Linked DNA regions of Ovis aries. The protein of the gene in region 2 interacts with the protein of the main gene of each other region in a biochemical or structural test. Links are inferred from orthologs where the notes say so. Each region holds a gene or a part of one and is shown on either strand. Other genes may lie near its edges.

Region 1 (5,157 bases), on a different chromosome or scaffold from region 2:
AACTTTTTAATCCTCAAACTCAAAAGTGATATATAAACAATTTAAAAATATGACTAGACCAATACACTTAAGAAATAAGACTTTATCACTCAACTAAAAAAAAGAAAAAAGACTTTCATGAATTCTCCAGAAAATCCACCCAAACTTGCATAAACTAAATTATTCCTACAGACCATATTATTCATATAGTACATATTCCCCTTTTAAAATATGGAAAAGTACAGGTCAACTACCCAATTTATGAACTTAAAACAGTTTTGATGTTTCAAACAACAAAGAATAATAATTATAAAGAAACAAACTAAAGTTTCTAAAGGTAGTGTGCGTGATAAAACTAAGTTTCTAAATATATTACATATATTGCAACATATTAAAACAATTATAGATTATGTCTGCACAGGTTTTATTCCCTGTAAATGCAAGTCCAAATATACGGCAGTCAGAGAAATTTGAAAACCAACTGGATATTATATGATATTAAAATTATAATTGTAAAAAAAGTGATCATTGCACTGCAGTTATATTAATAGAGTCCTTCATCCTTGGAGATACTAGAGTATTTTACAAAGCAACTAAACTCTGGCATTTGGCTTAAAATAACACATTGGTGTTGGGACTGGGGATGGGAAGGGGAGAATAAATGAGCCAAGACTGGCCTTACTTTGAAAACTGTTGAAACTATGGGTACATAGGGGTTCATCATTCTCTCCTCTCTACTTTAGTGTATGTTGAAAATACTCATAGTAAAAAAAAAAATGTAAAGACAAGAAGCTTATGTATTTAAAACTAAAAGCCAGCACTAACTGGTGAAGAATTTTTCACAACAAAACAGGAAAGACTACAAAGCCTTTCATCCCCGTTGTTATTTGGTAGAGCACTAGAATGTTCCTTCCTTTTTTTTTTTTTGTCTTAATCTCTACCCTCTTTTCCTCCTTCCTGGTTTCATCTGTTACTGACTTAGACGACTTCTTCCAAACTCATACCTTCCTAAAACTCAGAAACAGACTTTCAAATTGTTGCCTCGCAACACAATAAATATCTCTTTTTAATAACAACGGAGCATATTTTGAAAATTTTGCTCTAAACGAATTTAAAAAAAAATAATCTCATCTAATCTCATCCATTTACAACCTCTGTCTTGTATGTTTTATCACACAAGTATTGGAGTGAGAAATCTAAAGTTCTTGGTGAGTATGTGCAGGCTGAAAAGTTTGAAGACCACCCACCATTTTGGACACTAAGACACCACTGAAAGTTTTTAAGGAGGGAGGAAGTGTGACAAATGCTACATGAAGAAAAACAATTTAGCAGAAGTACATACAGATAGGAAAGATGGGGACAAAGACTGTGGTCAGAGAAAATCATTCACTAGTTCAACAAGACATTCATTTAGAAGTGAGATTGAAAAGTAGGAAATAGAAAGGGAAGGCTTAGGAGTGCTCAAGGAAAGGACTTACTGATTAATGGTTAAGGTAATGTGAAGGAGGAAGAAGAGGCTGAGGGGAGTGTCAGAAACCCTGCCCTGGGGGAAAGAAAATGGGTTTGACTCCGACTGGTATGATATTTAGACGCAGATACTTCTCAGACACCTGGAGATGAAGAACCTAGAGTCGACTAAACGCCTGCGGAAGTACACAAGGGAGCCATCTTTGTAAATGTGACAACTGAACCCAATGGTGTCAGGGCTTTTGGGGAGAGAAGTGGAAGACAGGCCCATCAATAAGGTTAACCCAAACGTTGGGGCATACCTATATTCAGGAGACAAAACAAGTGGAAACACAGAAGCGGCTGCCTGGGAGACACTGCAGCACCATATCAAAGTGGTCCCAAGAGTGGTTTGGTCAAAGGGTGGTTGGCCAAATGTTCAGGCCACCTTGGCGACCACGAGGAAGGATCTGTAAGCGACCACGAGGAAGGATCTGTGAGCGGACCCATCGTTGGTAACCTTGAATAGGACCATTCTGGTCCGGTGGAGCGGTCTAGAGTCAGGTATCAAAAAAGGGATAATAAGAGGGGGGAGAGAGGTGGCTAGGAATGGAGGGCCAAAGCAGAGCCCCGCAGGCGCCGCGATGGAGACAGATCCCAGGGGCCAGGCGCGCCTGGGGGTCTGGGAAGACCACACAAAAAGCCCTAGCGGGTAAGGTAGCCGAGAGGGAGAGACTTAAGTTTCCAGAGGGTGGAGGCATTTTCGGTGGTTCCCAAACCTGCCTCCAAACCCTCTAGAACCTGGCATGCCCAAAAGAAATTTATTCTTACGAGAAAAGCGAAAGTGTTAGTTGCTCAGTCGTGTCCGACTCTTTGCAACTCCATGGACTGTAGCCCCCCAGGCTCCTCTGGCAAGAGTACTGGAGGAGGTTGCCATGCCCTCCTCCAAGGGATCTTCCCGACCCAGGGATCGACCCCGGGTGTTCCGCATTGCAGACAGACCCTTATGGAAGTGGGAAGTTCATCGTAGTCTTCACCGGGGCAATAGCGCCCTAGCCATACTGGAGGAAAGGTCCGACGACGCTGGAGGGGAGGAAACCTCCAAGAGACAAAGCGCGGGCCCCTCGAGGAGCAAGGCAGAGGCATAGGGCGCGCGGTCCCAGCGAGGGCGCGCCCCTCCAGAGCAGCAGCCACCGTCCTCCCGGAGCCGGGACCCGGGGAAGCCGCCCCTCCCGCTCACGGCACTCACCGCTCCGACTGCGAATAGTGGCACCGGCCCAGCAGGTTGAGCTTGCAGAGGTGCAGGTTCCCGCAGGGTTTGTTGCAGTACTTGCGACGGCAGACCCGGGCTCGAGTGGTGGCTACCACGGACCGGGTGACCCCTTCCTTGCCGCCCATCTCCAACACCACGAAGCGGTCGGGCCCGGCCTCCTCCAGCACCTCGCAGAGCTGCGCCTCGGAGAGCTGCATCTCGCGGAGCAGAGCTTCCAGGGCCATGCGCCCCCCGTGGGCGCACAGGATCTTGGTGATGAAGCTGCACACCCCGGGGTCCGCCATGGCGCGCTATACTGGCCTGACCTCCGCGCGGGACTCGGCTGCCGGGAGAATCGAAACTTACTAGAGTCCCTGAGGCGGGGGGCGGGCGCCGCGCGGGTTGGGCGCGCCCGGGGCCAGCGAGCGAGCGTGCGCTGTCCGCCGCCCGTTAGCCTAGCCTGTCGGTTTCGGTTTCCGAAAAGCTCGGGTCGAGAGGCCAGATCTCACCGACCCCGGTCCCTGCGTCAGATCAAAAGGCGATCGCGACGGCCACCTCGTGCAAAGAGAGCGAACAAGTGCGGGCTTGTCTGCGGGCGACCGTGGAGACCACCGGACGGCTGCCCCCTCGTCTCCAGGCTCCTGGAGGGTCAGGTTCCCCAGCGGGGCGCCGAGAGGCTTCTTTGGAAAGAAGAGAAACTAAAAGGGGAAAAAAAATAACCTCTCGGCTCCGGCAGAGCTTTTATAAGCCAGACGAAGCGGCGAATGACGCGAGTCTTGGGAGCCCTCTTGAGGAGCCCTCTGTTCTCTACCCCACCCATCCCCGGAAAGAACGGACCCAAGAGAGCGCCTGCTCTGAGCCCCGCGCCCTGCCTCCGATATTAGTTGTTGTTGTTCAGTCGCTCAGGCCGACTCTTTGTGACCGCATGGACTGCAGCCCGCCAGGCTTCCCTGTCCTTCACCATCTCCTGGAGTTTGCACCAACTCGAGTCGGTGATGCCATCCAACCATCTCGTCCTCTGTCGCCCCTTTCTCCCCCTGCCCTCAGTCTTTCTCAGCATCAGGGTCTTTCCCAATGATTGAGCTCTTCACATCAGGTGGCCAGAGTATTGGAGCTTCAGCTTCAGCATCAGTAATCTTCACAGCTCCACGAGTTAGATAGTATTATCCTCACTCTCCTCCAGGAAGTAATCTGAGCAAACAGCCAACAGCTGGAGCCAGAATACTACCCAAGGTTTCCCAAATCTGGCCCCCAGACTCCAGATTGAGGTCTGCCTGGCAGGGACCACTGGGTAGTGTCTTTCTCAGCACCCGACCTTCTCCAAGAACAATCATTATTGCTTTCCCGCTTTTTCACCTTTTTTTGAGTTCTTTGAAGAACCACTTCTTGACACATTCTTGCCTGTCTATAACCATCAACAGAGGTGCCCCAGGCATGCTTAGACAGATCCCAGGACTTAAGCTAGATATCCTCTCTTTGAATATTTGGACACGATCTTTTCCCCTTCGGTGGGGACTCCCTTAAGCCCGCAGAGTTGGTATAAAAGAAAAAAGTGAAAGTGAAAGTTGCTCAGTCTGTCTGGCTCCTGGGGATTCCATGGACTGTAGTCCACCAGGCTTGTCTATCCATGTAATTCTCCAGGCCAGAATACTGGAGTGGGTAGCTGTTCCCTTTTGCAGATCTTCCCAACCCAGGGATCGAACCCAGGTCTCCCACATTTGCAGGCAAAGTCTTCACCATCTGAGCCACCGTATAGAGATTAAAGTGAAAACGTTTGAGCTACAGAGGATGCAGAAATAAATTTATCTGAATTTCTCTTAGTCTGAGTAAAGCAAAAGCCTAAAGAAAATGCAGCTACCTTTCACCCCGTTCCAAGGGAGTTTCCTGCTAACTCAATTGCCCTGCAGACAGAATATCCATTGCAGTTAGCATTAAAAAACCGGATAGAACCTTCCATACCCCTCTGCAGCTGCTGCTGCTGCGTCGCTTCAGTCCTGTCCGACTCTGTGTGACCCCATAGACGGCAGTCCACCAGGCTCCTCTGTCCCTGGGATTTTCCAGGCAAGAACACTGGAGTGGGTTGCCATTTCCTTCTCCAATTCATGAAAGTGAGAAGTGAAATTGAAGTTGCTCAGTCGTATCCAACTCTTAGCCACACCATGGACTGCAGGCTACCAGGCTCCTCCATCCATGGGATTTTCCAGGCAAGAGTACTGGAGTCGGGTACCATTGCCTTACCCCTCTAATGAAGTTCTAAAAGAGAAACCCCTTTGTTAATTGAGATATATAAAGTGATTTCAGGCAATTCTAGGAAGTTTCCATTATTGGAAGCTTCCCCCCACCAATGCTAAATAAATCTTTCTCTCTTTATTTTTTTCCTTTCTCTTTTTAACCTGTCTACTGCCAGTTACTTTGCAAAACCCAATGGTTGAAGAAAGTGGAGAAAACCACTAGACCATTCAGGTATGACCTAAATCAAA
Region 2 (5,099 bases):
GCAACCCATTGCAGTATTCTTGCCTGGAAAATCCCATGGACGGAGGAGCCTGATGGGCTACAGTCCATGGGGTCCCAAAGAGTCGGACACGACTGAGTGACTTCACTTTCTTAGGAATTTAATGTAAATGGGTCAGATGCTCCAATTAAAAGGCAGAGATCGGCAGGATCACACACACAAAAAAGTGATCTCACCATATACAGTCCACAAGAACCACACTTTAGATTCAAAGACACAAATAGGTTGAAAATAAAAGGACAGAAAAAGAGAAACTACGCAAATAGCAACCAATAACAAGATAGACCACATCTGGGTCTCAATAAATTTAAATGATTGAAATAATACAAAGTATATTCTCTCTCCATAATGGAATGTATTTAGGTAGGTCTTAGTAAACAGCCACTGCATGGAATTTGATAATAACGCATGTCCCTCCTAATGTTATTCACTAACTAATCAGCCTTTCTAAACTTCTCTTCCTGGAAGGAGAGGTCTACAAGCATTCTGGCATGAGTCAGGTCACCTCACCCACAAGAGCTAGGTCAGAGGGAATTTCATAATGTTTATTTCCTGGAAAATGCTCCCCGTGGGGGACAACTTTTTATAGTAGGACACACTTGGTTTTTGGAATCATAGTCTGGATACCAATAATCATTACCTTAGACAAGTTATTTAGTTTCTCTAAGCCTCAGCTTTCTCATCTGTACCATAAGGTATTTGTACCTCAAGGATTTAGAGGCTAAATAAATAAATGTAAATTTCCTACCTTCTTCAGTCTTCTTTTTCTCATGCAAATAACATCGTAATATGCAAGAGAAGACATGGGGTAAATAGTCCTGGAGCAATAGAGAAAGCTGGCATTAGGATGTTGAATAAAGCAATCTTGAGCTAGTATCCCAGTCCTCTTTTGTATGAAGTATGTGACCCTCATCTATAAAATGGGCATAATGACGTCCCTCCTGTAGTGCTAACAAGGATTATGGGAGATTATAAGGCTATCTACGACTCGCCTAGCACCCAGAGGTACGGATAAATGGTAGTGGTCAGAATTAGAATCCGCCTTTCCCCCCTTTTTGGTGCCCACCCTGTCCCCAAAGTAAACTCCAGTTCACTCCCCCCATAGCACTACGTTTCCTTTCGCCCGCATCTCCTCTTGAACTCGTCTCCCCTACTGCACACACACTTGTGCACCGAGGCTAGAGCAGCCGGGGAAACAAAGCTACAATTAGAAAGCAACTAAATAAACAATTTTGAGAACAATGTCTCAAAATTATATTTGTGTGCGTGCACAGGCGCGCGTGAAAGTGGGGACGTATGAGACAGGAGATTTTTATGAGACTGGGGTATCTCCAAACTCCAGGAAACTAGAAGGCGGGGCGGGGCGTAGAGGGGAAAGCGTGTCACATCGCCGGGCGCGGAAAGAAATCGCCAAGAGGAAGCCTCAGCCTGCGGAGATCGTGTTGCCCAGACGCCAGGGCCCAGCACCAGGGAAACGAAAGGAAGGATGAAATAAAATTTTAAAAAGGCAGAGAGTGGCGGGCCACCCGGGAAGCCCTTGCTGTAGGTGTTTCCACAGGTCCGTCCGATAAGCCCGCCTGGCGTGCGGCCGGGCTCCCCGAGGGTAGGGACCCGCGCAGGCGCGCCCGCCCGGGGCTCCGGCGCGCTCGGGAGCCGGGGTTCACTCCGCGCCGCGCGGCCGCGGGAACCGCCCTGGGGCCGGGAGGCCGGTCTGAACGCCCAGGGTGCGGCGCCCCGCGCCCGCCGCCGGGGCCGAGCGCGGCGGCCGGGACCGCGGGGACCCCGGGGCGCCCCCACCCGGCGCGGCCCGCCCGCCCCACGTGACTTCCTGGAAGCCCGGGGGCCCCGCCCCGCCGCTCGGTTTCGTTTCCTCGGCGGCCTCGGGGCCACTGCGCCGCCGTTTCCCCGCACGTCCCGTCGGGCGCCGCAGACGCACCATGGCGGAGCTGTGCCCGCTGGCCGAGGAGCTGTCGTGCTCCATCTGCCTGGAGCCCTTCAAGGACCCGGTCACCACGCCGTGCGGCCACAACTTCTGCGGCGCGTGCCTGGACGAGACGTGGGCCGTCCAGGGCGCGCCGTACCTCTGCCCGCAGTGCCGCAGCGGCTTCCCCGCGCGGCCGCAGCTGCGCAAGAACACGGTGCTGTGCGCCGTGGTGGAGCAGTTCCTGCAGGCCGAGCAGGCCCGGCCCGCGCTCGCCGCCGACGGCTGGACGCCGCCCACCCGCGCCGCCGCCCCCAGCGCGGCCGGCCAGGTGGCCTGCGACCACTGCCTGCAGGCCACCGCCGTCAAGACGTGCCTGGTGTGCATGGCCTCCTTCTGCCAGGAGCACCTGCGGCCGCACCTGGACAGCCCCGCCTTCCAGGACCACCCGCTGCAGCCGCCCGTCCGCGACCTGATGCGCCGCAAGTGCGCCCGCCACAACCGCCTGCGGGACTTCTTCTGCCCCCAGCACAGCGAGTGTATCTGCCACGTCTGCGTGGTGGACCACAAGACCTGCTCGCCTGCGCCCCTCAACGAGGCCAGCACCGACCTGGAGGTAGGGGGGCGGCGGGCGGGGGCGCCGAGAGGCAGCCTAGGCCGGCGGGGTGGCGCACAGGGCCCCGCTGTGGGCAGTGTGGCCGACCAGGCGGATCCCGTGGGGGCGGTGGAGGGGCATCCTCAGGCCTTGCTGTGCCTGAGATGGGGCCAGGGGTACAGCCAGTGTCCTGGTAGAAGGGGCCGTGAGAACATACAGCCCTCATATTCGTGGCTCACCCCACTCACCCATTTTACAGAGGGAACTACTTAAGACGCAGGTGATATGTTGTTTGCATTAAGCCTAGCAGTTGTCTGGGGGTCGCTTGTGGCTCAGACGGTAGAGAATCTGCCTGCTATGCTGGAGACTCCGCTTCTATCCCTGGGTCGGGAAGATCCCCTGGAGAAGGGAATGGCAACCCACTCCAGTGTTCTTGCCTGGAGAATTGCGTGGACAGAGGAGCCTGGCGGGCCACAGTCCCTGATGTCTCAAAGAGTGGGACACGGCCGAGTGACTACACTTTCACTTTAGCAGTGATCTGACATGTTTAGTAGAGGGTTTTGAACATCAATATGAGGGCTAGAGGTTACCTACGTTCTCTTAAGTTCCCCTAGCTCCCAGGTGGTGGGTATAATGAGTTGTTTACAGCTGAGGAAGTAGGAAATGGACATTCAGAGAAGTTCATTTCACTTGAGTTAACCCAAGTGGCCAAGTGGTCATTGAGCCTTGGCCAGCTGGTCGGACACCATTGTTGCTGTTTCTCCTGGTGGACCAGCCTCAAAACCAAGTCCTGGAATTCAGAGCACAGGACATTCCTGAGGTCATGTGAGATAAAGTCTTTGTGAGCCAGAGACTTCTGGTGACCGGGGAGGACCGACCACTGTGAGGGGGAGGGTGGGCAGGGTCCCAGGAAGCCCTGGACAGGAGGCCCAGCTGCACGCTTGCTGTGCCCTTTCTCCTGCCTGAGCTCCTTTAAAGCACGGGGCTGGTCCTCATCAGCAACGTGAGGAGGGGGATCAGGGCCCTTCTTGGTCTGAGATGGTTTCAGTGGTTGCCTGGGGTCGGTCCTCATCAGCAATGTGAGGAGGGGGATCAGGTGGATTCCTCAGGGCCCTTCTTGGTCTGAGATGTTTTCAGTGGTTCGAGGACCCTGATTTCCCATCTGGAATGGAGGCAGAGGCTGAACAGGTGTAGGCCCACTCCCTTTCCTTGCTTCAGTCAAACTTCAGGGTGAGGCCTGGGTTCTTTTCTCTCTCCCAGGCTCTCAGGGAAAACCGGGGCTGTCCTCGTGCTGTCTAAGGAGATGTGAGGCCTGGGGAGCTTTGCAGTGGCTCCACGGCCCGGGGGCAGGTGCTGCTCTGGCCTGGGCAGGACCCTCCCTGCCTCGTCTGCGTGTCCAGGCCGAGCTGGGTTCCTGCGGCCTGCTTCTCTGAGTCCCTCAGGCCTTGCCTGACATTGACCAGCGAGGTACAACTGTCTCAGGCCCAGCCCACTTGGGTCTTCACCTGTTACAGGAAAGAACCTGCCTGGCCTTCAGAGCCTGGAGGCCTGCTCTGCGTACATCAGCTGTGGTTCAGGGCAAGTCATTACATTTCTCTTGAGGGTCAGCGTCTTCATCCCTAAAACGGGATTAATAGCATTCCGTCTGCACATCCAAGAGTGGCCAGGAGGCTCCAGGGGGCTGAGCTGTTTGGGAAGTGCTTCTTAGGCAGGCCCCAGGGCCCAGCTGGTTGACTCGGATTCTGACCAGAGCTGAATGTTGAGACCTGGGTTTGAATTCTGGCTCTGCTTCCTGGCTGGGAACCCATCAAAGGGCCCAATAATGCTGCCTATCTGAGGAGGTGGTTGGGAGGATTAATGAGGTGATCCATAAATGGTGGGTTTTGTTTATTTGTTTTAAACACAGCTGTCAATCCGCCTGCAGTGTGGGAGACTCAGGTTCAATCCTGGGGTCAGACAGATCCCCTGCAGAAGGGAATGGCTACCCACTCCAGTATTCTGGCCTGGAGAATTCCAAGGACAGAGGAGCCTGGCAAGCCACAGTCCATGGGGTTGCAAAGAATCAGACACGACTGAACAACTAACACTTCACTTCTTAGCTTTTAGGTTGTGTGTGTGTGTTTTTTTTTTTTTTTTTCCTTTTCAGTTGACAGAGATCAGAGTTGCTTTTTAAAAAAAAGTTGTTTTAAGTTTTGGCCCTGATGGTCTTAGTTGCGGCGCACAGCTTCTCTAGTTGTGGCGCGTGGGATTAGTTGCTCCTTGGCATATGAGATCTTAGCTCCCTGAGCAGAGATTGAACCTGTGTCTCTTGCATTGGAAGGCGGATTCTTAGCCACTGGACCACCAGGGAATTCCCCATGCATGGCATTTTTATAGCTCACTAGTGCTCCATAGAGCTGCTGCTATCATTTCTGTTACTCAGAAATTCCCTGAGGAGAGTTGCTGCATGGAGGGTGTTAGACTGCCCAGATTTTCTTCTCAGGATGTGTGGGCCTGAGGACTTGGGCAGCCTAGATCTGCTCAGAAGGCCTGCTAGCAGTTCTTATCCAGGGGGCAGAAGGCAGT

What was found.
Region 1: of the proteins of TRIM25 (region 2) and ZC3HAV1, one has a biochemical effect on the other in vitro, tested with the Homo sapiens proteins (2 studies listed by BioGRID). The link is inferred for Ovis aries from reciprocal best matches to the Homo sapiens genes TRIM25 and ZC3HAV1.

The regions. Positions count from the first base shown.
Region 1 is NC_056057.1:104,152,558-104,157,714, forward strand, and holds the start of ZC3HAV1 (zinc finger CCCH-type antiviral protein 1), read right to left. Parts: upstream 3,045-5,157; 5' UTR 2,983-3,044; coding exon 2,675-2,982; intron 1-2,674.
Region 2 is NC_056064.1:7,432,017-7,437,115, reverse strand, and holds the start of TRIM25 (E3 ubiquitin/ISG15 ligase TRIM25), read left to right. Parts: upstream 1-1,877; 5' UTR 1,878-1,955; coding exon 1,956-2,555; intron 2,556-5,099.